Linked DNA regions of Struthio camelus. The protein of the gene in region 1 interacts with the protein of each later gene in a pairwise test. Links are inferred from orthologs where the notes say so. Each region holds a gene or a part of one and is shown in the gene's direction. Other genes may lie near its edges. The genes, in order: SH3BP5, SPTBN1, TNKS and SOS1.

Region 1 (7,180 bases):
TGGGTTCACAGGCTTGACACACAGCACTAGCTTCTGCTAATAAACAAATCCAGTTCCAGAATGCAATCACTTTCTTTTGTTTTGGTAAGGAAATCACTGATCCTTCAATTACAAAACAGCTGCAGCTATGGACAGTTTGATCACTTCTTTATTGCTGTTTGACCATCATCTTTGCACAGTAGACCTTTACAGCATAATTTGAGGAGGAAGTGGACAGACGCTTCACTGCCACTAGCTACAAAACTCTTTCCAGCTTCCACTGATAAACCCCAGGGCAAGGAACAATCTATACCATTTGTACACACTTTAGTAACGGAAAGCACAGACTTAAAGGCCTACCTGTGGCTTCTGAACACCAAATCTTGACTCAACTCAAAACTACTCTGCCTTTCCTCCTTAAGACACAGCACTAAAAACGAATGAAAACTAGGTACAGACTTTGGGCTAATAGTAAAGTCTTCTTGTTTGTCAAAGAACAGGGGAAAGGAAGGAATCAAATGCAAAGAAAAGATTGGAACCTCCCAGGTATAAGCCTTTATAAAGGCTCGGCTGGCCTTTCCTAAGGTAACACATTACAGTTCTGGCAGCTTGAATATTGAACCCATTTGTTTTAACAAAGAGGAAAGTGAAAATTACATTTACAGTAGATTGCACCTACACAGCAACTACTTGTAAATTTGTTAGAGAGCAAACAGGGAAACATACACTATAACATACAACATACTTACTGGAATATGTGGTAAGGTGATTGTTACTTCATCTCCTTTACCAACTTGGAGCTCCCCTTCACAAGACGTATCGATCGATGCTGGTTTAAAATCATCTAAAGAGGAAAATAATTTGGATTCTATTCATGTGAAACTGTTTCTTAGAGCCTTCATAATTCATCCTCCCCTGTAAAAAGTCACTGCACGTTTACTGTGATATAGGGAACATTAAAATACACGTTAGCGCTTACAGCAGGGGTAGAATAACATACCAGCACAATGTGCCTATGCTCAGAGCTCCAGTCACATGACAATATCAGATTCTAAATTTACTTTTTAAAATGGAAGTAACTTTCTAGACCTTTGTGTGTGCAAGACCAAAAGCAGGCTTCTCCCAACGACGTCAGTACAGCGACACTTGATTTTGCAGATTTTGTAAAACTGTTCCATGCATCTCAAAAGAGTATTAACGGCAAGCCCCAGTGCCCTGTATGGGTCTTGCCACTTCCAACCCAGAGGATACTTCTGTTCGTGACAAAGAATAACTTAGCGAGGCCATCCCAGTTAGCCTCACTGATATTTCTGACAGCCTTTGATAACAGCCTTTTTGCCTCCGCACCTCCACCTCAAGCGCAGAGCAGCTCTTAAACCCCACCTGTGAGGGGGAAAACAGAGGTGCTGGTCTTATTTCACCACGCTTCATGCTAGGACAAAAACACTGTGAATAGAGAGCACAACTAAGGCAAGACACTGGGATAGCTATAAGCTGCCCCTAGTGTTTTTGGTGCCTTGTACAGAACACTCTGTCCCTCAAGCAATACACTTTTGTTTACTGTATTTAGTTGAACTAAGAACATTTTAACTTCAAAGTATTTTCCCCTCAATTACTCAGCTGCGATGAGCCATAAAAACCAGAACAAATGACCAGAACACATAACATTTTGACAGAGAATTTAGACAAAGCGAAATAATATCAGATAGATATGGATATAGGATTTTTTTTTTTAAAACAAGCATCCATTAAATCCTAGCATCTCAGAATACAAAGAGGTGCAATTACATTCACAACCAAGACTTTTAATTATTGCATTAGTTAAGACACTAACATCTCAGAACAAATTTAAAATGTAATTCCACTAGGAAAAGCACGTTTGCAGGAAAAAAACAGCTTTGTAGCAAATTCTCATTAGGAGGACATTAATGTCTAATTGAGTTTTACTTTGACAGCACAACAAGCAAAATCAGGCACACTTGACTTAATCCTCATGCCTTAACTGCCAGACCAAATCATATCCTTGGTTTTCATCTGACCAATCTATTTCTAGCTATTGTTTCCCATCTACTTCATGTGCAAGTTTGCTAAATAGAACATAAGCTCGCTGTAGAAAGGCTAGGGTCTTTGCCAAAAAGGGATCACAACTTTCAACAGCGCAGTCACTAAATGAAAAGCAAAATATCACTAACGTGCTTCTTTCTTGGATATTAACAAAATATAGAGTTATTCCAAGCAAACACTCAAACAATAAATTGTTTTCTTTTTGTATCTACTTGGCTAATTTTCCTGTAGACGGAGGGCAAACATGTCCACCTAAACGTAGCTGCAGTCCTTTTTCCAAAAGTCAAGTTTCTTTAGATGTGTTTTCCATGGATAATCCAGTTTTTCAGTTCGGAATTTCATAAACATTGCAGAAAAAGATGAGGTATTTTAAGGAGCAAGAGACAAATTTAGCCTGCAAAATCCTCTTACTGTAGTTTGTATGAAGAGGATTAGGGGAACACTATGATGCTCAGATCCTAGACTAATCATTTAAAATCAAGAGTTAGAAGAAAAAGTTATAATCAGCAAAGCGAAAGAGATCTCACTTGAAAGTCACTGACTACAAATACAGCACACAGAAAGCTCTTTGAAAATAAAACTGGATTTTTCCGGTTGTAGTCTGAAGTGTTCTGGCTTTGCAGTCCCTTAAGAAATTGATTACTGAAGACCCTTCAGTCCTAGAAATCCAAAGTATTATCTGGACATGACCTAGGTTTAATTCATATGCTATCAGACAGCAACCTCATTTGTTTGATGGTTGGGCTATTTTAAAACTTTGATTTATAAGTGAAGATTTACTACTGTGCCAGTGCTGAATAAAACTAATGGTATTATGAATAAACAGTAAAATATATCACACACATGCTACGGCCTTCTTTAGCATCATGGGGTTATGTAAGTGTAATAGAGGGGTGAACCACACAAAACTTAAGTGTTAATCTGCGGGAGAGAGTTTACTATCTAGGGAAACAGCTTCTCTGTAAACACTGATCCTCTGCTTGGATAATAGCTCAGTCTAGAAAATTGTTCTTTCAAGCCTCACTCAGGTGACTAATCTCACTGAAATTATTTACTCATAGTGTATGAAAGCAGGCTATGAAACCAGGCCTAGGAGTATACATCATACAACAAAAAATCCTGCTGTTAATAGTATAAATTCTCCACACTAATACAAAGATACTAAAATACAGTTTCACTATAATTCTCGTCTCCTGTTGCTGATTAACTACTAATTTTAAATGTTTAGAAAAAGTAATGAAAATGAAAAAGCAATTTCTTGTCTACAGCATTCAAATACAGAGATACAGGTGATCTCCTCTTCCAGGAGGAGATCCTCTAATATGATATAAAATGTATTCCACGCTAGAAAACAGCAGTTGAAAAAGACGTTTGGTGTCTTAGAAAAATACATTTTTCCAGCTCCTCCAAAGCAAAATTACTGCTCGAGACCTTGCCTCAGCATTTATCTTATGCTTATTACCACTTGTTAGGCAATACTGCATGCGTTGGAATCATTTCTGCTTGCCTTCCTGGAAAGTGACTTACAATAGACCTTGAGAGTCAACAGAGCCGGGGAAAAAGTTGCTGGGTTACATGGTGCCTCATTACGGCAACAATCAGTTAAATTGAATCGGCTGCAGACAAGCTGTACTCCTTTCCCGACACTCCTGCCCACCCAGAAGAAGCCAGACCAGGGCCTGTGGTGACCTGTAACACCAGGCCCATAAGAAAATGGAAAGCCTTCCCTTTGAGGAGGAGGAGGCTTTATGCTCTTAAACGATTCACGTGCACTTCACGAACAACTCCAGAGCCCCTTTGTCTTCTGCAGTCTGCCTCGTTCACACTTTTGCTCTACTAGAGGGGGCCGCGCGAGGAGACCCGCTCTCCCAGCACGTCTGTTTGTAAACGCTTCCAGCGCAGCCCTGGCCGGCTCTCCGTTGCCCTCCCCCTGCCCCCTCGCTGCTCGGGCTGCAGCCACAGAGCCAGAGGGCGAAAACGGGCCCTGGGGGGGACACGGGGGCTAGTTGGGGGGGGGGGGCAGGGAAGAGAGGATATAGGTCGCTGAGGGGGAAGGAATGGGCTCTAGGGGGAACGATGGACTCTGAAGGGGCAGCAGGGGCGGGAATAGGCGCTGAGGTAAGGACTGGGGAGGGGGGGAAGGAGGGCTGAGGAGGGCAGTAGGGGCGGGAAGGAGGGAGAGACGGGCGCTGAGGAGGGACGATGTCGGAAGCCGGCGCGGCATGAGGGGTGGCAGCCGGCCGGGGGCAAGCCCCACGGGGGGTAGGGGAGCCTCGTCCCCCCCGCGGGGAGGCAGGGCCGAGGCGGCGGCCTCGGGAGCGGGGTTGCGGGGGGGGGCGGCTCCGAGGCAGGGCCGGGCACCCCCCGCCATGTCGGGGAGGCGCTGGCCACCCCCCCCCCCCCGCCATTTCGGGGAAGGCAGCGAAGGGCGGCAGGAGCTAGAAGGGACGGCGGGGCCCGGGGAGGAAGGTATCGCGGCGGAGGGCGAGCTGCCGGGCAGGTAACGTGTGTGTGTGTGTATGTATATGTCCCCCCCCAACCACCACCCCGGGCGGGAAGGGGCGGGGGCGCTCACAGCGGATGGTGTGGAAGGAGGCCTTGGGCCGGCGCTCGAAGCTCTCGCCCAGCTGCAGCGGGTGCTCCTCCTTGTCCAGTAGCGGGTTCGCCGAGCCGTTCATGGCCCCGCTGCCGTGCCGTGCCGTGCCGTGTCCTGCGCCGCCCGTCCCTTCCTCTCCTCCGCCCGCTGCGTGCGCGGCCGCCCCGCGCCCTTCCGGGCCCTGAGTGCAGCCGCGAAAGTGCTCCGGGGCCGAGCCGAGCCGTCTCGTCCCGTCCCGTCCCCTCTCCCCACAGGGCACCGAGGGCAGGTGGGCGCCGTTGGGGGGGCACGCAGGGGGTCTGGCCCCGTGTGGGGCGCCCTCCCCCCCCCCCGCAGCGGGGTCTGGCCGCCCCTCGCGGCGTGGGGCGGGGGGGAGCGGGGGCTGCGCGGTGCTAACGGCTGCTAACGGCTGCTGGGGGGGTTGCGGGGCGGGCGACCGTTATCGTCGTGTCAGCTCTTTGGTTTCTGTCTAACACAGGGGTCTTTCCAGACGTAAAGGGGGCAATTTAAACGGGTCATTTCCCCCCCCCCCACTCCCCTCTCTAGCTTGTCTTACCCCAAAAAACCCCGCACGCGTTGATTTGATGCGTGCCAGGCGCACAGCAGAACCTTTTTGCTGCTGAAACTTCTCTTTTTGTTTTTTTTCTTTCTTTCTTTGAGGATATACCTTCAAGAAAAAATCAAAATATTACATATTTTGAGGAAAAGCCTGTGTCTTTAGTAGATTTTCCTTCTTCAAGGGAGTCTCATCGCTGTTGGCCTTTCCCAGCCTTCCTGCGGGCAAGCGGCGTGTGGTCTGGCTCCTGTGAAGCTGGGCACAACGGGCCCGCTTCCTCGTTTCCCGCCGTTCCCGCGTTTGTGTGTTGTGTTTGCACTGTTACGTTTGTACTAACCAAGATAAAATAGCGGAATGAAGTACTGCTCGTTGTTGTTGTTCTTTTTTGTTTTGCTGAAGGGTAGAAGTTGTTGTTTTTCCTCATTTCCGTTTCTGTGAAGCGGCACGAATGCCCAGTCCTGGGCACTGATGGACGTGGATGGGCGCGTTTTGGCCTGCCAGGGGTTTCAGGGGAGTTACTGGGTCACGCGGGATTTAATTCACGTACGCCGTCTGGGTGTTTGTGGCAAGGCAGAGCTCAGAGCTAGTTTAACGTTAGGGAAATGACTTGAATCCTTTCCTGGCCTCCATAAAGGTGTTTTTATTGCCTCATTTTTGTTAACTTCTGAAAAAAACATACCCGTCATTGTTCAAACTGCTGTGAATCCTCAGGAAGAGGCAGTGGAAGGAGTGCGAGCTCAGGAGAAATGTTAAGGTGAATATGGTTTTCTTTGCCAACTGAAACGGGACTCTTAAAAGGTGTGCCCCCTGCTTTTCAGTTGTGAGCTTTCTGAGGTGTTACTAACCAGAGTTACAAAGCCCGTGTTTTCCTTTTCTAGTCGATTTTAGTGCAAATAAACTTAGAGCTGCATCATCTCTCTCTGGTTGGGTAGTTTTCTATGATACGTGTGGAAGACCAGCAGAATTTGTCCCCTGTGTTCTTTGAGATCAGTGTAGTGTCTTACCTGGTGCTTAGCTTTGAAGGAGGATTTCTGAAAATAAGAGAAGCAAGTCTGGTGGTTTTGCGGTCTGTTATGTAGGGCAGATCACCATAAAACCTCCGAAAGTGCATACAAAAACTAACTATCTCCCTCTCTCTCTCTCTCTCTCTCTTTCTCTTTTGTGCTTTTAGATCCTTGGTTATTTACCAAAATTAAGTGATGGAAACATATATATGCTAAAAAAAAAATCACTGTTGGGGCTTTGGTATTCACATCTCTGTGAAATACTCTAGGATGTTCCATGAAAACCCACCAGCCGATTGCTTAAATTTAATAATTACATCTACTGAAGCTGATGCTTTCCAAAAAAAAGGCCATAGTGCAAGGATCCTTAGCCCCGAAGAAGCTGAGAGACTGGCAAAAGATAAGGTTTTGGTGACTGATTTCAAACAACTAAAATTGGAGAAAGAGGCACAGAAGAACTGGGATCTATTTTACAAAAGAAACAGCACCAACTTCTTCAAAGACAGACACTGGACAACCAGAGAGTTTCAAGAGTTAAAAGCATGTCGGGAGGTGAGCTGAATACACCTATCTATAAGTAAAGAGATATGATTCATTGTTTTCAAATGATGTAGTAATATTTCTAACAAAGCCATTAAGGTGAGAGCTCTCACGTTTTAAGTGTGTAGTGCTTTGTGTAGTGTAGTCTCTTTTAATGTCAAAGATATCTCCTCAGGATCAGTTTAGTTTCAGTTTATAATTCTTTCATATTGTATATGGAGAACCAAATCTGGAATATTTATTTTGCATCTGCACAGAGAGACAAGTTGTCTATTTAGGACGCAAGTTACAGCACTTAAAACACTGTTTTAAAGAAAGCATCCAGAACTACAGGCTAATTGCAAAATATCCTTAAGGGGAATAGTCAGATGCATCTGTTGCTCATTCTATCTGGATGAGACACAAGACAGCAATAGTACAACAATCTGTTAATTAAGTGGG
Region 2 (7,806 bases), on another chromosome or scaffold:
TGTCTAACTGACTTTACTTGTTGGTATTATGAAGGGCTGGCGTTTTAACTTGTAAGTATTCCCTCATTAATTGTCACAAAGTTGCAGGTTTTGGCTTTTGAACCCAGCAAGCGGAAGGTTCGCACTGAAAACATTAACAAATATTTGTGGTCGTACTCTAGTGAAAAAACATCCTCTCTACCAAACCCGAAGATGCTAATTTTAAAAATCTGTGGCAAAACATATGTAGCTGCCACATTCTTTACAAAATGCGGGCTCTTTAAAAAGAAGAAAATGACTGTCAGTAACTGGGATAACTGGCTAGAGCCCACAATACTCCTGCTATTCTGGTTCCTGCCTCTCTCAGGCATTCATTCCCACCCAGTTATTTCCATGATAATCCATGGCCCACCCCTCTTTGAGCTATGTGGGTTAGAAAGCCAGAATCTTAAAATATGCTGGATGCTCTTGCCCACTCTCTCCCCTGTATTACAATCTTTTTCCTGCCTACTTGTTTGAGATATATTAATAGTTGAGTGAAGGATGATTTTTTTTTTCCTGATGTTTCTTAAAATCCTGGCACTCAAACAATTATATGTGTGTGCGCGCATGTGCGCGTGTGTCTGGAATGCAACGTTAATTAATTTCTAAAACTCTACTAAAACTTAAGCAACTTGTTAGCAGAGTAGCAAAGCTTTGTCACATATACTTAGTGAGTTTGATCTGCTTTTTGTTACAAGTCATACCAAAGACTTACTGGCTAAGACCTTTGCTTTCTAAATTACTGAACAAAATCCAAATAATGAGGTTCACAAAAAAAGCCTGGTTAGGTGATACGGCCAACCCAGATAAAATGTACAAATATATTTTCATGATATTAATCTTACCCCATCTAATCTTATAAAAATTAGCCATAAATAGAGAACCAGTGCCCTAACTGAATTGTGGTCAGCTTAATAATATGATATCCATGTACTAGAAATGCCCCATTGCTCAAAGATGTTGCCTTGCTTTGCTGAAAGGCAACTGAGTTACAAGCTAGTCTTGAGTCAACTCCTGCTCTAACATGGCTAGTGGACAACATACATTATTTAGTTCTCTGAATGTTGCTGATGGCTGAAGTAAAAGCAGTATTCATGCTGGATCAAAAATCTACAGAGATTTATCCTTCAGAGCTTGAAATCTGAAAGTCAATGCATACTTAGGCACTTGCTGGTTTTCATTGTCCATAGCCAAATTATTCAACTTTTTCCAAGAGCAAAACTCCGCTTAAGCTAGTGGAAATTCTGCTTGGTAAAATATTTGAGCATATAGGCCACACAATTCAGAAACTCTACTGAACTTTTCATGTTATTTGGGCCAGATTTAGTCAACCTGTTCATCTGGAGCAATCTCTTAATCCTGCAGCTATTCCAGCTAATTTCTGTACCACTATCTGGGGAAGTTCAGGAAGGGAAGAACGGTTCTCTTTTGTGTTTCTTTCTTTTCTCTGTGGATACAACTTTTAAAAGTGATTGTCTTGTCCTTGGTTACCGTAATGTTTACGAATCCAATGTCTTGGATTATTAGTTGTTAAAGAAAACAAGCTCATTCTACCTCCATTTGCATGACGCAGAAGCAGGCACCTTCTAGTATCTATTCAGAAGCTCTAATCGTGGACTCTCATTGTGGGCGACGCTATACAAATAAAGAACACAAAAATGGTCCCTGTATTAGGCAGTTTACAATCTAAAGGTGCTGTTAAACAAGGTAACTGAGCTGATCTGTTTGCTGCCACCAAAAGAGGAGACCCTGCTCCCCTCTTGTCCTGCTGCTCCCAGAGCAGATCCAGACTTTCTTCTGGTCCCCTCACAAGCCAGCTCAGCTCACTAAACCAGAACTACTTTTTTGTTGCTGTTGAATTAGGTTTTACACCAGAACCAGTACAACGGAGGAGCAAGACAAGGGGAAGGGGAGCTGGGCTGCCCCATAGCTGCTTACCTTCTACTGTGCCCCAAGAATTAGGGGTGAACTAATGCAGGCAACAGACAGGGAAGTACAAGCGCAACGCTTGTCAAGGCTCTTGAAGGCTTCATGACAAAAGAGCATTTTAAGGAGAATTTTTGAACGCAACTTTTTCTAAGTTGGAGGGATGGAGAAATGGCAGAAGGCATGAAGTTAGTTGTCTGATAGTGGTTCATACTCTGGAAAAGTGAAAGATAGGAGCTGGTGCTGAACAGATATACAGGTACAGGGGGAGATGAAAGTGTAGCTTAGCAGCTTACGCCTGATCTAACTGAGAAGCGAGACCACCGGAGGGATGCAGAGAAACGTTGGCCTGTTCAAAACGACAGATGAGGAAAATGAACTTGCAGCAGCATTCAGAGTGAGTTTACAGAATCACAGAATCGTTTAGGTTGGAAGGGACCTCTGGAGATCATCTAGTCCAACCTCCCTGCTCAAGCAGGGTCACCTAGAGCATATTGCCCAGGATCACATCCAGACGGCTTTTGAATATCTCCAGGGAAGGAGACTCCACCACCTCTCGGGGCAACCTGTTCCAATGCTCTGTCACCCTCACAGTGAAGAAGTTTTTCCTCAGGTTCAGATGGAACTTCCTGTGGTTCAGTTTCTGCCCATTGCCGCTTGTCCCGTTGCTGGGCACCACGGAGAAGAGGCTGGCCTCATCCTCTTGACATTCCCCCTTCAGATACTTGTACACGTTGATGAGATCCCCTCTCAATCTTCTCTTCTCCAGGCTGAACAGGCCCAGCTCTTGCAGTCTTTCTTCCTAGGAGAGGTGCTCCAGCCCTCTAATCATCTTGGTAGCCCTCCGCTGGACTCTCTCCAGGAGTGCCATGTCTCTCTTGGACTGGGGAGCCCAGAACTGGACACAGTACTCCAGGTGAGGCCTCCCCAGGGCTGAGGAGAGGGGCAGGATCACCTCCCTCGACCCGCTGGCAACACTCTGCCTAATGCACCCCAGGATCCCATTGGCCTTCTTGGCCACAAGGGCACACTGCTGGCTCATGTTTAACTTGTTGTCCACCAGCACTCCCAGGTCCTTCTCTGCAGAGCTACTTTCCAGCAGGTCAACCCCCAGCCTGTACTGGGGCATGGGATTATTCCTGCCTAGGTGCAGGACCTTGCACTTGCCTTTGTTGAACTTCAGGAGGTTCCTCTCCGCCCACCTCTCCAGCCTGTCCAGGTCCCTCTGAATGGCAGCACAGCCTTCTGGTGTGTTAGCCTCTCCCCCCAGTTTAGTATCATCAGCAAACTTGCTGAGGGTGCACTCTGTCCCTTCCTCCAGGTCATTGATGAATATATTGAACAAGACCGGACCCAGGACTGACCCCTGGGGGACACCACTGGCCACAGGCCTCCAACTTGACTCTGCACCATTCACCACAACCCTCTGAGCTCGGCCATCCAGCCAGTTCTCAAGCCACCTCACTGTCCACTCGTCTAGCCCACACTTCCTGAGCTTACCTGTGAGGATGTGATGGGAGATAGTGTCAAAAGCCTTGCTGAAGTCCAGGGAGACAACATCCACTGCTCTGCCCTCATCTACCCAGCCAGTTTAGGTAGGCAAGGCTGCAGAAAAGGCTGTGGTAGCAACTGAGAAGTGAGGTGATGACAGTCTCGAGGAGAGAGTTGGCCATCTGGCTGGATAGCGAAAGGTAATGCTCTGGACCTAGCCCGGAAGAGGGAAGTCGGGGAATGATGGTGTCCAGACCAGCGACCTGAGTGGGAAGTGTGATGGTACTATCTGCTCAGGTCGCAGATAACTTAGAGGCCTGTATGTGGTTACAGCTTAGGAGCTCTCTTTTCTACGTGGTGAATTAATGGTTTACCATCCACAAGGTGTCAGAAGGACAGGATAAGATTTTAATTTCGGCAGACGATAACAAGCCTGGAAAGGTAGATCCACACGTTGTCCACAGAGAGACTGTTACTGAATTTGCACCTCAGGGTGAGCTTACCCAACAGTCAGGTGCAGAGGGAAGCACAAACTAAGCTTCCCTTAAGACTCCCGCTGGACATTGGGAGTATGAGAGGATGCACTGAAGGGAGGGGTAAGGAAGAGGCTCTGGGGGAGGCAGGCTCCGAAGCCAAAGGAGAACAAAATATCAAAAAGAGCCAGGCTGATAATTTTGACAGGATGGAAATGAAGCAATGTTCCAGAGATTAGGCCAGGAAGCAGATATTAGGAACTTTGGCAAAGTAGTTGAGTGTGAAGGGTAAGAGCCAGATAAGAGAAAGTTTAAGATAGAGTCAGAGGAAGGGAACTCCAGATAGCAGTTAAAGAGCGTGAACGTGGAGCTGAGAAGCGGGAGAGGAGACAATGACAGCTGGGGAGGCAGATGAAACCAAGCATGGTGTTTTAAAGGTGGAAAACCCTAGGCCGTAGCCGCATTGTGAGCGAGGGGGGACGAGGATGGGCACAAAGAGGCTGAGGACGTGCAAGCAAACAAAGGGGCTAGGCTTAGCGAAGGAAACGTGGAGCAGAAATGTCTACCTCTGGACTGGCTGGAGAAGAGTTGCATGGGGCGGGGAGGGGAGCCGAGCAGGGGAAAGGCACATTGTATGTGAGCCATTTTCTCTGGAAAGATGTTGGCAAAATGCTGCCCAGAGAGGGAGGAAGAGGGGATGCGTGGCAGAAGGGCGGCGGGGATGGAGTTTCAGGGCACGCGGTTACCCTGGCAAAGGCGAGCTGTTTCCCTGGGAGGGTGGCAGAAGCAAAGCGGGAGAGGATGACTGTGCAGGGGAGGAAGTCAAGCCCAGGATGGGATGTCCACTGGGAATGACAGAGCAGCAGAAGAGCAGCACTAGCGGAAACGGATGCTGGGGGAGAGCCAACATTGTCCTTGCGATAGGAGAGGGTGTCAGAGGAGGAGGAGCGTGAAGTCTGGGGAGACCCCCGCAACGCAGTAAGCGCCAGGGAAGGAGCGGGGAGCAGCGGGCAGCGCCGGGGTAAAATCCAAGGATAATTTCGCGCGAGGAGCCGCGGGGTGGGAAGGCCGGACGGGGTCGGGGGGGGGGGGGGAACCCGGGGGGCGCCGGGGCCGGTGGGGGGGACCTGGGGGGCGCCGCCGGCGGCACCTGCAGGTCCCTGCGCGGCGGCGGCGGCCGCTCGCAGCCTCCGCAGGGCCGGGCCGGGCCGGGCTGGGCGGCACCGCCGCGCCCCCCCCCCCGCCGCCGCCGCCGTCCCCGCCCGCCGTCCCGCCCCTCGCAGCCGCCGCGGCCGGGCGCAGCGCGGCGCAGCGCAGCGCAGCGCGGGTAGCGCGGGTGCCGCCGCCGCCCGGGGAGAGCCGCCGCCCGGCCGCGGAGAGGTAGGGAGGGACGGGGTGGCGGGCGGGCGGGTGTGTGCGTGTGAGAGAGAGAGAGACACCGGGCGGCGCCCCCCCCCCCCGCCTTCGCCGCGGGTAGCGGCCCCGCCGCGGCCTTCCTCCCCTCCTCCTCCTCCTCCTCCTCCTCGCCCCCGGCACCGCCCCGCTCTGCGGCGGCGGCCCCGGCCCGGCCCGGCCCGGCCTCCCCCCGGGCCGCCGCCCCTGCGCCCCCCTCCCCTTCCCCGCGCAGTGCCGCCGCGCAGCCGCACGCCCCGCCGCGGTGCGGAGAGGCGCGGGCGCGCTGTGGCGCGGGGCCGCCAGGCTCTCCAGTTTTTTATTTTATTTTATTTTATTTCTTTAAAAAAATTTTTTTGGGGGTGGTGTAGATTTTTTTTTCTTTTTCTGTGCTACGGCGGTGCGCTCGGAGCGGAGGCGGTGGCCGGAGCGGAGCGGCGCGGCACGGTGCGGAGCGGGGCGGAGCGGGGCGGCGTTTGCGGCACCGTGGTGGCCGGCGGCGCTGTCAGGTCGCTGGCCACTGCGGCGCTTTGTGCTGGGCGAGCGCGGGGCTGGCGCGCAGCGCCGCGGCGGGGTCCCGCTCGCGTCCCGCGGTGAGCGGGTGCGTTGCTTCGGTGGCCGGTTTTATAAATCCGCAGTGATAAAAGGCGTAGTGCGTGGGCTTGATATCATTATCTCTGCTAGGTAGCTCTTGCTGATGGATATAGGCCGGGCTTAACCGAAAAAAAAAAATGGCAGACTTGTGCTAGGTACTGTGAGACTGCAGTCGCTCTGAAAAATCCCTTGCTCATGGCACTGGGGTCCGACCTGTTCTTTAGCTAGCCCTCCTTTCAGGCTGGTTCTGTTGATCTTGAAATGCACAAGGGAAAAAGAGTGAAAAACGGAATTTGTTGTTTTAATATCTTTAAGCGTGAGCAAAATTTTCTTTCTTATTCACAGGAGGTGAGTCGAGAAGCGATCTATGTTTTGAGATTTTACTCAGTGCTGGCCATAGGTAAAAATGCTAAATACTCAGTATCGAGAGCGTAAGGTTATTGTAAGTGGGAATGAACATGAACTGTGAGGATTTGGAGCATTCGGCACAGCCTTCGTCCTTTATTGCCAGGGTAGAAATACTATGAAACTTGCTTATTGAACTATGTAGCTAGTTTAGAAAAATTACTGTTATTCTTTCTGACCTTTGAATGTATTGTCCTGAAAGACCTCTTGGGGAACAATGCTCCTGGGTCCTAAGGATTATAAAGCCTGGTCGTGTTGAGTAATTTATTCAAAGAAATATCAGCCATGTGAAAATGCCATGGGAGACTGTGACACCTCAGGCCATTGCAGAAAAGCCCAGCTGGAAGGAGGACTTGCATATAGTAGGAAGCCTCTGGAGGGAGAGATAGGAGATGAAAAGGATATGGGGATAAAGAGCCAGAACTGGTTGGTGATGGCAACTAGCTGCTCTCTCTGAGGTATTGTTTCATCCATTGTTGTTTGCTTTTTTTTCCTCACTAAAGCTATTTCTTCCTAAAGCAGAAATGGCTGTTGTGATGCCTACATGACTTAGCAGTGGCTGTACGGCTATGGGGAGTGTGCAGAGGAGCTGGCTGGCTGGCTAATGTGTCACAACCAGTGGTGCTAGATTGGCCAGAAATAAAACAAATAGGAAATAAAATTTTTCTAAGGTGCATGTTTTGTTGCTTCATACTATAGTGCAAACTTGGTACTAAAAATACGGTCAGGCTATAGACTACCGGTCCTTTTTGTGTTTTTCTGTAGTGCGGGTTAAGTGCAGTAAATGGTATTCAGCAAGGCAAGATGCAGCATTTTTGGATGAAATAGGAGCTTGCAGCAGTTATGTGGCAAAAAGCATTACAGATGCTGTTTCACCTCTATAGTGGCACAAATCCTGCAGCTTTTGGAATTGCTGTGCATTGCTGCACTCTGCCTGCACGCAGAAGAGGACCAGGGAGATGGCAAGGCATTCGTGCTACGTGTAGGGAGACCGGCACACTGCTGCATGGCTTTCAGACAGCCCCTTTCAAGTAGACAACCAAACCGTTTTATAAAAACAAATCTGTTTTATCTCCAACGTATATAAAATCTCATCCATTAAGCACCATTTATTGGATGGACAATGTAATGCTCGTTTATATTACATCACCTGACTAAGGATTTGTTTTTAATATGGGTCAGTTACAGGATTTAATTTTGTGGTTGGATTACTTGCATAATAAGTGTTGTATTTTGTTTGCGAGGAATATATGGGCATATTTTATGGAACATGAATGACAATAATCTATTTATTCAGATTTTTAAGGGTCAGACTGTGACAGGTATTTAGACAGTTAATCTCTACAGGCACCTAAATTCCTGAGTCATCTGATCTGGGCACAAGTTAAAAACCGGTAGCACAATTTATCATTGCCTATTACCCATGAGTCAGCTCCTAAATCCAATCCAGGCTGGTATCTCTGACCGCAGGCCTCCTGCTCGCCATTTCACGACTCTGGGAAAG
Region 3 (7,401 bases), on another chromosome or scaffold:
GTCCGCTCAGATTGGCGCCGTTAATCCACGCCTCTGCATGGGGCACCTCGTTCTTCACATAGCAAGGGAACTTGTACCAGGCAGCCGCCCCGTTCAGGGGTTTGCATTTGGGCTTGTTGACACAGTAGCAGAGGCCCATCTTCTCCAGCAGCTCCAGAATGAGCTGCAGGTCTTCCCGGCTCTGGATGTGGGGCTTGAGAAGCAGGCGGATAATGTGGGCAGGGAGGAGGCCATGCAACAAGAAGCCCTCCACATAGTGATGGAGCTGGGTGGCCCTCAGCTCATCGATGTGGGTGTCGCTGAGCAACTTCTGGAGCAGCACAGTGGCATCCCGCTGGCAGAAGACGTTGAGGATATCGATGAGCCGCGGCAGGTTGTGGAACACGTACTCCCGCAGTGTGAGGTGCTCCTCAAAGTAGAGCAGCTTCCCACTCTCGTGGAGGTAGGACAGGGCACTCTGGAGCCGATCCTCCGTCAGGCCCGCCTGCAAGCCCAGCCGGGCAGAGTCCCACCAGCTGAGCCACAGCTGCTGAGCCTGCGGCTGGAAATGCAGCTCCTCCAGCACTTGCCAGGATTTGGGCAACACTCGGTGCAGGTTTGGGAAGATGTCCCGGTGCTCGGCCACTGAGAGGAGTTTGTCCCGCAAGCGACGCACCTGGCAACGGTCCCGGCAGCTGAAGGGCAGCACCGGGGAGAGAATCTGTGGGCGGTGGTTCAGAAGATACTGAAACTGGGCTTTCTTCCGCCGCAAGTTCTTGTCCGAGACCCCGTAGAAGGTGGCGTGCGGGCTGGAGCAGCGCAGGTCAAAGTCCTGTCCCAGAGCCTCATCCACCTGCTGGACCAAGCTCTGGAGTCCCTCAGCATCCCGTTTCTCCTGCAGAGCAATCTGGTGATGGATGTCCAGGCACTTCTCCTCCAGCTCCCGCTCGGCGCAGAGGTCGGCATGGGTTCCCACCATGCACACCACAGCATGGGGCACCTTAGAACCAAGCCAGTGCAAGAAGTAGCCCACAGAGCGGTAGAAGTGCTGAGGGACGTAGGCACTCAAATTCACTACCAGCACATACAAGGCCCCGGGGGAGAGGAAGAAAGATTGGATCACATCGTAGCTCGGGTCCCCCGCTAGCTCATACACAATGAATGTCAGACCCCTCTCAGCATCCGCTGTCCAGTCCATCACCTCAATGCCCTTGCTGCCTCCTGGCAGTCCCGCTCCTGATGGCGCTTGGAAGGCGTCCGGTGGCAGTGATGGCGCCGGGCACAGTGTTTCCCCCTGCACTCTGCGAGAAGGCGCATGGGGGACATCCCGCCGCTCAACAGGGAGCTGCTCCAGCTGCTGCATGGCAGGTACCCGCGTTGAGGAGGTGTCCGGAGGCTGCGGGAAGGGGCAGCACCCAACCGGCACTCTACCAGCATCTCGCTGCTGACCAGGGTAGCCTCTGGGCTGGGCACTCCCTGACTCCGGACCTCCCGCGTCCTCCCTCTGCCTGTCCTCCTCCATGAGGCACCGTCTCAGCAAGGTCTTGCCCGCATCCTTCAGGCCCATGAGGACCAGCTTGAGGCGGGGCTTGAGGGCAGGCTGGGAGTTGGCCAGCTCCTGCTGGTAGGCCGCGATGTAAGGGATGCCCTTCATGCACACCTCATACGGGGGCTGGATGAGGGGGTTGTCCTTGATCTTCCACAGGGTGACGCGGGACAGTTGCCCAAAGCCCTCGGGCAGGATGGCGATCTGGTTGCCTTGCAGCACCAGCTCCTCCAGGCTGTGGAGGAGCACGATGGAGTCAGGCAGGTAGCGGATGCGGTTGTTGTCCAGCCAGAGGGTGCGGAGCTGGCGGAGCTGACAGAGGCCAGGGGGCAGCAGGGTGAGCTGGTTGCGGCTCAGGTAGAGCTCCTCCAGGCCGGGCAGGGCCAGCACGGCGGCAGGGAACTCCCCCAAAAGGTTGGAGGAGAGGTTCAGCATCTTGAGGCGCTGCAGGCTGCCAAAGCCGGCGGGCAGAGCCCGCAGCCGGTTGCCGTCCAGCATGAGGCTCTCGAGGGCACCCAGCTGGCAGAGGCCCTCGGGCAGGGTCGCCAGCCCGGTGCCGCTCAGCCAGAGGATCTTGAGATGGCGGAGGGCGGCGATGCCCTCGGGCAGAGCCCCGAGGTGGCGGTTGCCGGAGCAGTCGAGCTCCTCGAGGGCGGCCAGCTCCAGCAGCGGGGCAGGGAAGGCGGGCAGCAGGTTGTGGTCGACGTCGAGGGTGCGGAGGTGCCGCAGGCGGCCCAGCCCCTCGGGCAGGCGGCGCAGGCGGTTGAAGCTGAGGTCGAGCTCCTCGAGGCGGCCCAGCTCGGCCAGGCGCGGCGGCAGGCCGGGCCCCTCGGCGCCCAGCTCGTTGTGGCTGAGGCTGAGCTTGCGCAGGCCCCGCAGCCCCGCCAGCGCCGCGCCGTCGCCCAGGCCCCGCAGCCGGTTGTGGCTGAGGTCCAGCTCGGCCAGGCGGCCCAGGTGGCGCAGGGCGGCGGCGGGCAGGCGGCGCAGCCGGTTGCGCCGCAGGCTCAGCGCCCGCAGCCCGCCCAGGGCGGCGCCCACCTCCTCGGGCAGCTCCTCCAGCCCGCGCCCGCTCAGGTTCAGCGCCTCCAGCTCGCCCAGCGCTGCCGCCGCCGCGGCGGGAGGGGGGCGGGCGGCGGGAGGAGGCGGCGGCCCCCCCGGCGGCCCCGCGTCCGGCTCGGGCTCGGGCTCGCCGCCGCCGCCGCCGCGCAGCTTCCGCGCGAGCAGGGCGGCGGCACCGCCGCGCCACGGCCGCGCCGCCTCCGCCGGCTCCGTCTGCGCCATGGCCGCGCCGCGCCCTGCCCTACCTGCCGCCGCCGCTCGCCATGGGCGCGGCGCCGCCGCCGCCGCCGCGGCGGGCTGCGGGCTCCCGCCGCGCCGCTGCCGGCCGCGCACGTAGCCGCCGCCGCCGGGGGCGGGGCCCCGCCGCGCTCTCGCTCCGCCCCTCTCCCGCCCTCGCCCCGCCTCCTTCTCGCCCCGCCTCCTTCTCGCCCCGCCCCCTTCTCGCCCCGCCCACCCCGCCCCCTTCTCGCCCCGCCCACCCCGCCCCCTTCTCGCCCCGCCCCCTCCCGGCCCCGCTTTCTCCGGGCCGGGCTTGTGCTTGAGCGACGGGTCGGTGCTGGTGCAAGCGGTGCCGGAGCCCGAAAACGTTCGGGGATCACCCCAGACCCTTCCCCTCGTTCTCAGCAGCTGAAGCGAAGGCTGTCAAACGGCCAAGAGTGCGTGGCATTGGGGCAGGGGGGGAAAAAGGAGGGAAGAAACGGATCCCATTGCTGCGGATTGCGTTATACACCCAGAATTGCGCTCGGAGTTACTAATTTTAGATGATGGCCCTGCAAAGGCCTGTTGACGGGGTTTTTAATTATTCATCTGAAGCCTGAGGTTCCCTCGCTTTACTGAGCCAGGCAGCTGCATTAGTAATAAGATTTCTATCTGCAGCGCAGCCCTCCGGGGGCCGGAGAAAGACCTCGAGTTACCAAAGGTGGTGTAAAGCCCGATTCTGGGCTTTGCTTGCTGAAAGCCCCCGCCCGCTATTCCCGTACCACTTCAGACCTGCTCGTTACTCAGAGGACCTCCCAGGCCCTAACGAGCCCAGAGCTCATGAGGTCTTTGCCAAGTACTCACTCTCCAGGCCGCTAGTTGGTTTCTCTTTGGAAGGCGGCTTTGGGGTAGGGGACGAGGAGGACTGACTCGTTCTGCTCAAAATCTCAGACCAAACGTCTTTTCGACAGCAATGCTGGATTCCCGCCCTGCTGCCCAGGTGGGAATGTGTCAGGCTGGATCCTCCAGCCCTTGGCGGGGGGGGAGCATGCAAGGCGCAGGCATGCCAGGGCTGAGGGTGAACGTGCAAGGGGTCAAGGCTGGGGGTGAGTGTGCAAGGAGTCAAGGCCTGGATGAGTGTGCGAGGCGCAGGCATGCCAGGACTGGAGGTGAATGTGCAAGGGGTCAAGGCTGGGGGTGCGCAAGGAAGCAGGTGGGCCAGGGCTGGGGGTGAGTGTGCAAGGGTCAAGGCCTGGATGAGCGTGCAAGAAGTCAAGGTTGGGGGTGAGTGTGCGAAGAGGCAGGTGGGCCAGGGCTGGGCAATGTGCGAGGGCCGCGCGTGCAGCGGGGGGGGGAGGGGGGCGCGCGCAGCCAGGCACCCCCCCCCCCTTCGCCCCCCGGCGGCGCGTGCCGGCAGCCGCGCGCCCCGAGCTGCTCGGAAGGCGGGCGCTAGCCGCGGCCCCGGCAGGGGGTGGAGCCCGCGAAAGCCCCGCCCCGCCCCAGCACCCCTGTCGTCACGTCCGGGCGCCGCCCGCGGGGATTGGCTGGGGGGGGGGGCGGAAGCGTGGGCGGGCGTTGCCGCCGTTGCCGCAGTGACGAGGGCTGAGAGGGAGGCGGGGAGGGGGGCGGTAGAGGAAGGGCGAAAAATGGCGGCGCCGCGTCGCTCCCAGCACCACCATCACCACCACCACCTGCCGCCGCCGCCTGGGCCGGCCTCGCCGCCGGCCGCCGCCGCCTCGCCGCCGCGCAGCCCTAGCTTGGCGCCCGCCGAGCTCGCCCCCGCCGCGCAGCGGCACAGCCTGGCCGGCCCTGAGGGCGAGGCGCCCTCCGAGGCCGAGCGGCCTCCAGCCCCGGAGAGCGCGGAGGGCGCGGGCGCCGCCGCCGCCCCGGGCCCGCCGCCGGGCTCGGCCAGCAGCTCCGGCAGCTCGTCGTCGTCCTCCTCCTCCTCGTCGGCGTCGTCGTCGGCCGCGTCGAGCCCGGCGGTGGAGAGCCCCGAGGCGGCGGGCCTGGGGGCGGCGAGTGGCGCCTTCCGCGAGCTGCTGGAGGCCTGCCGCAATGGGGACGTGACGCGCGTGAAGCGCCTGGTGGACACGGGCAACGTGAACGCCAAAGACATGGCGGGCCGCAAGTCCACGCCGCTCCACTTCGCTGCCGGTGAGTGCCGGGGCCGCTGGGCGAGGCGAGGGCGCCGGGGTCGGCCCGGCCTCCCGTTCCCGGCGGAGCAGGGAGAGCCGGTGCCTCGGCGTCCTGCACCGGCGCCTCCCGCGGCCCCTCTCGCACCCACCTGCTGGGTGGGCGCAGCAGGGAGCGCATCTCCAGCGTCCCGGGGGGTCGCGGGGGCGCAAGCTCGTTCCTGGGAGAGGAGGAGCGCGAGGGCGCTTTTCCTGGTGCCGTTTCACTAATGCTGGGTGCGGGAGTAGATGGCTGTTAAACCCCTCTCTCTCCTTCTCCCCCGTCCCCAAAACGGGCAGAGGATCATCCCTTTGGGTGAGAAGAGGGGGAAAGGAGAGCCTGTGGGGGCATGAGGGAAGCCGTATAATCTAAAAGTACTAAAATAACTCCCTGTATTGGCCCCACAAGTTGCTGACTTCAGCATGTGGGCTTAGCAAGTGAGCAACTGATGTCACTATGTTTCTGGAACTCAGGGCAGAGTTGGTTTGGATTTAAGGTTTTCACTTGTATTGCAGTAGCTCTTGAAAGTCAAGGAACCCTGTGATGCAGGTAGGCTTACTAGGAATCAAAGTCAATGCATTTTTGTGTTTTGACTGGTGTGTGTGTGTGTGTGTTTTTTGGTTTTGCTTTTTTTCCTGTTATCTCAGTGTAGCTACGGATTGATCTCTGCCTCTGTTGTGGTTTGAGCGGGCTGGGGAAAGAGGTGAAGTGGAACAGCTGAACTCAGTGGGAGGTTACAGCTGTGTCCAGGAGACAATATGCCTCTCAGTGTGGGGAAGAGATGATATTGTGACCAGAAATAGTCACTGTCATAAAATAAGTCAAAAGTGAGATTCAGTGACTGACCTCAATTGCAAATGAACATTGTCTCCTACCAAGCATAGCTACTACCCCTTAGTATAGTCTATAAAGAGAGCGTTTTGTGGGGGGCTGGCCATGGCTAGAGGCACAGGGGGAGTGAAGCCCGTGATAACAGTAAAATGGGGAAAATAGTTGAAGTCAGGACTTGCACGGTTGCTAGGTCCGTGGTCAGATTGAAGTCTTTCTGACAAATGCCACAATGATACAGATTGCCTTGATACCATCCAGCGGGGCACGGATCTTGTCTGAGCTTGTAAGTAGGCCAGTGGCTATGGGATGCCCTGACCTACTCCTGCTGATGTGCCATGCTTACTGGCCTGCTCCTGGCTGACAGAGTGGTTGCTATTTTAATTTTCCTGACTTGGCACCACAAGCTGGAGCTCTTTAATATTGACAGTAGAGTTCTGGATCCCGTTCTACAACTCGGAACATGCTCCAGTAACCCTTGTCAGATAAGCAGCACAATAGCCAATATGAAAGAGAAACAGAAGTTGCTGAAGCCTTTACTCAGGCTTTATTCTATGTTCAATATTTGAATGCTGGTGTATGGCTCTAAAGCACCACATGGAAATCAGTTACAAAAATAAGCATTTATCTGACACAGCGTTGCTTGGGACTCCAGGTAGTGCTGTTCAGTTTATCTCTGTGTTTGTGTAGGTCTGTTGTCATTTCCAAAGTCAAAGTGGCATCTCGTGGTGGCTCTATGGGAAGTACTGGTCTTGAGCCATTTGCATCTCCTCTAATCCCTGAGCTCTACCAATAAATACTGAAATGTGCAGGCCTACTTAATTTCAGTGAGCCCTGGGAGGTGATGCTGGCACAACTGCATGCATGTGCACAAAGTGCTTAATGTTTTGGAGGCCTCATCTCACATCAGCTCACTTTGGATTCCAGCTTAAAATTAGACCCCGCTTCTTACCCTTAAGTGCTAAAATTTCAAGTTATAACTTCAGTGGTAGACTAGTACAAACTGTAGTGCTGGTCCTGTAGTGGTACAATATTAATTTCACTTAAAACCTGAACTTTGGTTAGAGAAGGAGCTGACAAAACCTAAGGCTTTGAAAGGCAAGAGTGTTGGTGCGATTTTACTGTAATAGCAATGGAAGATGCTTCCTTGTAGCATGAGGAACACAGCAGGTGAATTTCTTATACCTAATAAGACTGTTTGTTCTCTATTTTTGTAGATTTAAAGACTTTCCTTAGCTGCCAAGCGTATTCTCTCAGAAATTAATGAAGCATGTATCTGACTGAAATGAGTTTGACATCTAATAGCATTAGATAGATTTCTTATTAGAGAAAGACTGAGGTCCTAAATTTTGAAAAGGCCTGTAAACAAGTTTGAATGCAGCTGGTCTTAGGCAGTATGTAGTTGCAAGTGATGCAATACATTGATAGGATCTCCTTCCCCTTTGTGGACAAAAGGAGAAATAAAACCCCTTTGCTTACAAGCATAGGAGTCTGCTATGTGTATTAAGCAGTGTTATGTGTAATAGCACAATTTTATGAGTCATAGCTAACTTTACAAATTGTTTGGCCCCTCTTATAAGAGGAACAGGAGTTGAAGAATGCAGTGTGCCAATGTTTTA
Region 4 (6,836 bases), on another chromosome or scaffold:
ATCAACTGAAAGCAAGAGCATTGCAAGGTGACACCCTTGTTGCTACCTACTTGTTCCTTACAGCTTTGCAATCATGACCCCGAGATCAGACTCCATGTGCCCTGGGCTGGGGGCACCAAGAGGTCTCTGGGCAGCGGTGGGGATGCATGCAACCACCAGGCTGAGGCACTGGGCACAGGCAGGGTGACTTTCTTGCCTCATCACAGGCTTTGGCTTTAGCAGTGCCCTGCTGGGTTTTAAAGGGCTCTATGTAAAAGGGCTGAAAAGAAGCTGATAAAAACAGGGAATGTGCCTAAACCTCTTGCCTCCCTTCGAGGAAACAGTCCAGATTGATCTAAAACATGGATTATAGGGAGCCATGTTCCAGGCCTGTATTGAGGGGTGCAGAGGGAGCTGTGAGGGGACACATGTCTGGAGAGGGGCAGGCCAAGGCAGGCCCTGGTGGGCTCTCAAGCTTCCATTGTGGACAGCGATGCTGGAGAAAGCAGTTAGCTTGTCTGCTTCCCAGCATCATCCTCTATGATATGGCTGCATCACTGTCTCCTTCCCTCCTTGGGGAACACCTCTTTGGGTGCAGACGTTCCCCCTAATTAGCTAGTTGGAGCTAATTTAAATTCAACATCATTCAGGTCCCCCTTCCTTTGTTCTGATATCTGACCGGCAGCTACTCCCAGCAGCGTCCTGCAGTCCAAACACAAGTGTATGTCTTCAGCCCCTGTCAGTCACTCCTGGTGGCATCCCCTCCTATCCCCCACTGGCAGTTGCTCAGTCAGGAGGGGTGCTGTCACTGACCGTAAGCCCCGGCTGCTCTTCCAGCCCTCAGAGGAGAGTATGGCAAAGGGCTGCTGTGCCCCTCCAGCTTGTCCTCCTCTCCCTCTGGCAGCAGCCCTGGGCATCCCAAATGTCCCCATCCTGCCCATGCACGTCATACACCACAGACAGCCTGCAAGCCACCACCACACTGGCTGCAGCCTTTCATTTCTGCTGTGATGACAGCAAGAGCGATCAGCCTCAGCTTTGCCTCTCTCGGTGTAAGGGCAGGTCGTCCTGCTGCCAGGCTGCCTGCATCTCCCCTTGCCACCAAGCTTTCTCCTTCCCCTTGTGCTTTGACCCCTCTGTTATTAAGTCCCTCAGCAGCTCCTAGCTTTTAACTCCATGCACTTTCCTGCAATAGCCTGCTCCATAGTGAATGCCAGGAAGGCTGCAATCCTCCCTCCAGGTCCTTAGGCACCCTGCCTGTAGCAACGCACATGTTTATATCCAGTAACCAGCAGCACCTGCACCTGATTGCACTTTGGCTGCCTCTGCTGCCCTCCATGGATGCTGGGCCACGAATCCAGAGGTCTGGGACTGCAACTGGTAAGCGAACAACATCTATTGCTCTCAGTCACGTTCAACTGATAGGTGGGATTTTTCCCATCCTGCCTTAGATGCTGGTTTAATTTTGCCATGTTCGGTGAAGCAACAGCTCCCCAGACAGCCATAGCGATAGTTGCAACTTGTTAAGTTGCTTCACAAGTGAAACCGCACACTCCCATACAGCACACAGAGTGTCTGCAGTTAGGCAGAGAACAAGTGGCCAGTGAGGAACCTGGAGTGCCTTGTCCACATCGACAAACCCAGGGCCCCCCCAGGCATGGGGGGCTCATGGTCCATGCTGGACTGGGCTGGGCATGGCAGGGTCCTAGCCCCGCTGTGGAAAATGGCTGTGTCAGAAGGGAAGCCTTGAATTTGTGTAAAAAGCCAACCAAGCAACCCTAGGCTTTCACCAACAGCCCAAGTCATGACCACTTAGGCAATACTCGGTCCTCAGATGGAAGACAGCATTTCCTTCCTGTCCAGGTCCTCAGTGTCTTTAAAAAGGGATTTTGAAGTGGGCATAAAGGCATTGAAAGGCAGGAGCAAGAAGGCTAAATACGGGGGGGGGGGGGGGGGGGGGGCTGAGTGCTGATAGCTCAGAGTCACAGGGTGTCCTGTGGCCTTACCGAACATTTGAACCAACTGCGAATACAGCGCCTGAAATCTTACGTTATCCGATGCTCTTTTGTGGGAGTGGAAGAGATATTGTAGGCCATTCACTGGTACTCAGGGGGTCTCAGAACACAGCCCTGACACCATCTGACCATCACCTCCAAAGAGAGGGGCTGGAAAGCAGAGCGCTGGTGCGATTTTACACCCAGCGTTATGCATATTCAGGAGCTCCTGAAGCATAATGCTTCAGGATTTAAGCTCTGACAGACAGATTTTTCACCATAAGGTAATGAGTACAGCATCTTCCCCGTCTATCAGATGCTGAGACTGAGTGTTCCTGAATCTGCAGGCAGCCTGGCAGGCCAAAATAATAGCTCTGAGATGTGAAATTTCCCTCCTTTCATCCCTCTTCCAGCATGTTCAAAGCAGAAGTCTGACTCCTTCAGACAGGAGTACCTGTGTAGAGGAAAAATGCCCGAGGCAGGGCTGAGGGGTAAAGATAGCTCTTTCTGAGAGGCTAAATACATTACCTGCCAAAGTACTGCTTAGCTCCTCAAGAACGTCTCCTGTCCCCAGAGTGCTTCACAAACATTAATTAGCCAAGCCTCCCAACACGCATGCCATTCCTGATAGATGTTTGTCTAACCAGTCCTTGAGACGAAGGAAGACTCCGCAGTCTCTCCGAAGCACTCTGTGTGGGTACTTCACCCTCCTCCCCACTAGAAAGCTGGTCCTAAGCCTTCCTTTCAGTGATCATACATCTTTCCTATCCCTCTTGCTCTCTGTGCTCCCTAACAGCACCTAACTATTGCCTCTTCCGGCCCTTGGGCCCCCGCACCTTGCGAAACAGAGCAAAAACTTCTCCTCTCCAGCATCATCCCTCCCTCCATCCTGCCTATCGGACCCCACTGACCACTGTGGACTTTGTGGTGCTTTCCGCCAAGAACCAAGCTCACTTTTCGCCCTTACAGCTGTTCTTGCGCTGCTTTAACAGGGTGTTCATTTACCTGTGATCTCTGTCCACATGCGAGATGACTGGACGCGTCAGAGACAGAAGTCCCCGGGCAGGCGTCGCACCGCCTCACCGCCGGCTACGTCTCCGCGTGCTCGAAGCCACCGGGGCAAGGAAGGCTTGTGAGGACATGGGCTGCCTCGGGGACGTTAGTAACGATCCCTGCGAACTGCCGCTCGCCGGCAGAGGGGCGGAGGGGAGGCAGGCGCCCCTCAGCGCCTCACAGGGCTGCGGAGCGCGGCCCTCACCGTCGCTCCCTTCCCGTCTCTCCTCCCCGGCGCCGCGGCCGCTTCGGGCAGCGCTGCCGGCGCGGGCGAGCGGTGTTTGAGCGGTTTCACCTCAGCGCCCGAGCCCGTCCTCTCGCGGCGGGGGCTCGGCTCGGCCCGGCCCGCGCGGCCGTTAACGGCTGCCCGCCCGCAGGGGGCGCGCGCAGGGGATGGGAGGGGGGGGAGGCGGGCGGCGGAGCGCGACCACGCGTCGCCGCGGCGCATGCGCGGGGCGGGGCGGGGCGGAGGGGGGGGGACGCCGCCGCCGCCGCCGCCGCCGCGCCTGCGCCGTGGCCGCCAGCCGTGCGGGCGAGGAAGGGGCGCGCGGAGCGCAGAGCGGCGGCGCTGCTCCCCCGCGGCCGACCCCGCCCCTCGCGGCCCGCCGGCCGCGCCGCGTGACCCCGCCGCCCTCCTCCCCCCCTCTCCCTTCCCCCCCCCCCCCCGCCGCGGGGGCGACCGCCGAGAGCCGGGCGGAGGGGAATGCGGCAGCCGCCTCCCCCCCCCGCCGCTGGTGGCCTGCCGGCGGCGGCCGCGGCGGCGGCGGCCGCGGCGGTGGTGGTGGTGGTGGGGGGGCGCCGCCGCCGCGCCTCGCTCTGAGGAGCCCGCGCCGCCGGGGGGGGGCCGCCGCCGCCGCCGCCGCCATGCAGGCGCAGCCGCTCGCCTACGAGTTCTTCAGCGAGGAGAACGCGCCCAAGTGGCGGGGGCTGCTGGTGCCCGCCCTGAAGAAGGTGAGCGGGGGCGGCGGGGGGGGGCTCGCCGGGCCGCGCCGGCGGCGGCCTGGGAGGGGAGCGGCGCGGCGAGGCGAGGCCGCCCCGGGCGCGGCGCCTGGGCGGCCGAGCCGGCGGAGCCGCCTGGCGGGGCCTGGTGCCGCCGCCGCCGCCGCCAGGGCTCTGCGCGCTCCGGAAGCGCCTTCCCTCGCCGCGCCGGCCGGTGCCCGCCGAGCATCGCCGGGCCGGGCGCCTCGTCCCCTAGCGCGGGTTTACCGGTGAGACGGCGAGTTGGGGAGGGGAAATCCTCCTGAGAGGATTTTTGGTTTAATCAGTGTACGGGTTAAATGGCTTTTTTTTCGTTAAAGCCTGTCTCGGTGTACGTGCTTCCCGCTGAGGAGGCGTCGTGGGAGCGGGCTAGGGAGCCCTGCTCCCTCGGGAGGGTGGTGAAGGTGATGGCTGCGGCGTGGAAAGAGTTGATCGGGAGGAGAGGAAAAAATCGTCGGGGCTCCTTTTCCGCCTCTGCCGCCAGAGTTCAGAAAGTAGAAGGCTTAAGATTAAGCTTCAGACGCTCCGGCTCGAACCGGCCTCAGATCGCTGGACTCGGTCAACGCTTTTTAGTCATACGCAGCAGCGTTTTACGAGTCTGTTTGGTTATGGTGATTAACTTCGACTCCTGCGCGCCCAGGGCTAGCTGAAGCGTTGGGTTCCCCAGCGCGGACTGGAAGTCTCGAGTGTTGCTGTTGTACCCGTTCAGTATTTCTTCCCAATTTCCTCTTGCGATGTGTTGCCTCACGTTTTTCTGGGCATGCTCTTTGAGATCTCCTGCACTGTGTGGTTTCATCCAGTTCTTGGAAGTCCTCTTACTTGTCTCATCCGTAGGCTAAGCTGTCAAATGTCTTATCCCTGATCATTAGTCACTTTTTTGAAACTAAACTTCTGGGCTGACCGTATGACCCAGGCAAACCCTGCTTCTTATGGCGCTTTTAAGCGCTTGGGCAGCCAGCCGGCGGAAGCTTGGTTGGAACCTGGAGCTACCGAGGTCTGAACCCCTGAGAGCTTGCTTTTGTGGCGGGTGGGTTATTCCCCCACCCAGAGGTTCATCAAGTTTGGAATGAAGCTCAGTGCTAAATGCTGGAGGAAGAGAGCGAGGATCCAAAGGCAAATATGAGTTAAGACTTTGGAATTACTTGCTACATGTGAAGCACTAGTTTTCATCCCAGTGGACAAACCATTCGTGAAGCCGCCCTGGATTGAAGATCCTCACCGAAGGAGCTGGATGAACGCTTTGGGGAAAAGGAGACAAGGAATTCTGGAGTCGGAAGTCAACAATCAGAGAAGGCCAACGATGACCAGTTAGGAAGGATGACAAACCGGCCAAGCAAGGTATGGTGGTCTTGATTTCACTGTGTTATGCTCTGTTTCTTGTTGTGTGCAGAGGGATGGCAGGAGTGATGTGGAGTTACTACTGAAGACTCTTCTACACTCAAACTTGCAACTGTGTGGCAGATGTTAACTCTTCTAACCTCAGCTCTTCATGAGGTCACCACCTGTTTCTTATCTGCTCCCAGGCTGTAGTCCAGTGTGCTCCAGAATCATAGTCCTCTTTGCTTACTGTTCCTGTCCCTGCAAATGTAGAAATGAAGCATCTGTCCATATTGCCATCTACCTTGCTGAACAGCTGGATACTCTAGTTACTCGATACTTAAATGGCAGATGAAAACATTAAAGCTAATGGAAAAGCCAAACAGAGTATTTTACGAGCTTGCGTGGGTACACGTGGTCGTAGCTAGAGTGTTTAATCCTGACGGGCCCTGTAAAGTTATGAACATAATTGGCAGGTAAAGCCATCAAAAATACAACATGCTTGCTTTGACTATCTTCTTTATCATTGAATTGCTCAGAAAACAGAGATGATATTGCAGCTTTGCAACCAGTGGGCTTGAGACATTGACCCTTTGCTGTGCTATAGGCCGAGCGTATAGCTAGACGTCAGTGTGTGCAGCTGGTAAAAAAGAGAACGTGGCAGCATATGCCAGCAGGGTCAAAGGGCAGAACTAGCCTGGAGGGAAACATGGTGCCTTGTGCCTTTTTCTGCTAAGTTGCTAGGGTAAGCTGTCGCAGTCAGAGTCAGATTAGCTGAAGCTCAGGAGCATCCCGTGGTTACTAGTGGAGAGCTTTTTCCTCATGACTCCCAGTTAGCTGGCCAGATCCTGATACTCGGTCTCAGGTAGTGACAGCAAGTAGCTTTCTGAACTCTCCCTTAAAGCCAGTTAGATCTGCAAACGGGGTTGTGAAGCTTTCCTGTGTATTTGGAAATGAGACTTGACAATTTGGAAAGGCCTGTCTTTGTGATCAAAGTGGTATCTCTGATTAGGAGAGCAGCATTTTGATTTAATGTTGCCAAAGTATGTACACCAGGATGGAGTGTTCCCAGCCACTGGGGAGAACTACCACATGTGGACTGAATCGTTAAACTGCCATTACCCTTTTGTAACTTTGAGTAGGCTTGTTGTGTTGAGTCTAAATTATAGCCCCAGAATCAATTGCTTACAAGCCGCGTGTTGTTAAACCATTGAAAATATGTATTTTTCCCAAGGAGTTGTTCTGATTCCATGTTTTTATGAAACAACACAAAACAGAATATGTTGCAAGAACAAATCCCTTCCTACATCAGTGAATTTTAGGAAAGTATGCCTTGTCTTTCATTAGATATTGACCTTAACAATAGGCTCTGTAATGCACTGTGTTTGCATGGAACAGCTGCATTCACAAAAAGCAGCTCTTGTACCATTCAGATCATAATGTAATCCCTTTTCTCCAGTTCTCCTTCAGATGCTGTCAAGATAGACTCCAGTGCACTCAATTAGGAAGAAAATG

Evidence for each region.
Region 2: the proteins of SH3BP5 (region 1) and SPTBN1 interact in a two-hybrid assay, tested with the Homo sapiens proteins (2 studies listed by BioGRID and IntAct). The link is inferred for Struthio camelus from reciprocal best matches to the Homo sapiens genes SH3BP5 and SPTBN1.
Region 3: the proteins of SH3BP5 (region 1) and TNKS interact in a two-hybrid assay, tested with the Homo sapiens proteins (2 studies listed by BioGRID and IntAct). The link is inferred for Struthio camelus from reciprocal best matches to the Homo sapiens genes SH3BP5 and TNKS.
Region 4: the proteins of SH3BP5 (region 1) and SOS1 interact in a two-hybrid assay, tested with the Homo sapiens proteins (2 studies listed by BioGRID and IntAct). The link is inferred for Struthio camelus from reciprocal best matches to the Homo sapiens genes SH3BP5 and SOS1.

Annotation. Positions count from the first base shown.
Region 1 is NC_090943.1:48,870,455-48,877,634, forward strand, and holds the start of SH3BP5 (SH3 domain-binding protein 5), read left to right. Parts: upstream 1-4,177; 5' UTR 4,178-4,543; intron 4,544-4,618; coding exon of another isoform or gene 4,619-4,721; exon of another isoform or gene 4,722-4,907; intron 4,908-6,366; 5' UTR 6,367-6,469; coding exon 6,470-6,751; intron 6,752-7,180. Other genes in the region: EAF1 (ELL-associated factor 1), read right to left, coding at 729-823, 4,619-4,721. UniProt on the Homo sapiens protein: Functions as a guanine nucleotide exchange factor (GEF) with specificity for RAB11A and RAB25. Inhibits the auto- and transphosphorylation activity of BTK. Plays a negative regulatory role in BTK-related cytoplasmic signaling in B-cells.
Region 2 is NC_090944.1:119,317,409-119,325,214, reverse strand, and holds the start of SPTBN1 (spectrin beta chain, non-erythrocytic 1), read left to right. Parts: upstream 1-4,795; 5' UTR 4,796-4,889; exon of another isoform or gene 4,890-4,932; intron 4,933-5,178; exon of another isoform or gene 5,179-5,291; intron 5,292-5,521; exon of another isoform or gene 5,522-5,750; intron 5,751-7,806. UniProt on the Homo sapiens protein: Fodrin, which seems to be involved in secretion, interacts with calmodulin in a calcium-dependent manner and is thus candidate for the calcium-dependent movement of the cytoskeleton at the membrane.
Region 3 is NC_090945.1:3,094,061-3,101,461, forward strand, and holds the start of TNKS (poly [ADP-ribose] polymerase tankyrase-1), read left to right. Parts: upstream 1-4,394; 5' UTR 4,395-4,428; coding exon 4,429-4,936; intron 4,937-7,401. Other genes in the region: MFHAS1 (malignant fibrous histiocytoma-amplified sequence 1), read right to left, coding at 1-2,806.
Region 4 is NC_090944.1:139,621,827-139,628,662, forward strand, and holds the start of SOS1 (son of sevenless homolog 1), read left to right. Parts: upstream 1-3,824; 5' UTR 3,825-3,890; coding exon 3,891-3,977; intron 3,978-4,337; exon of another isoform or gene 4,338-5,321; coding exon of another isoform or gene 5,322-5,342; intron 5,343-6,780; exon of another isoform or gene 6,781-6,836.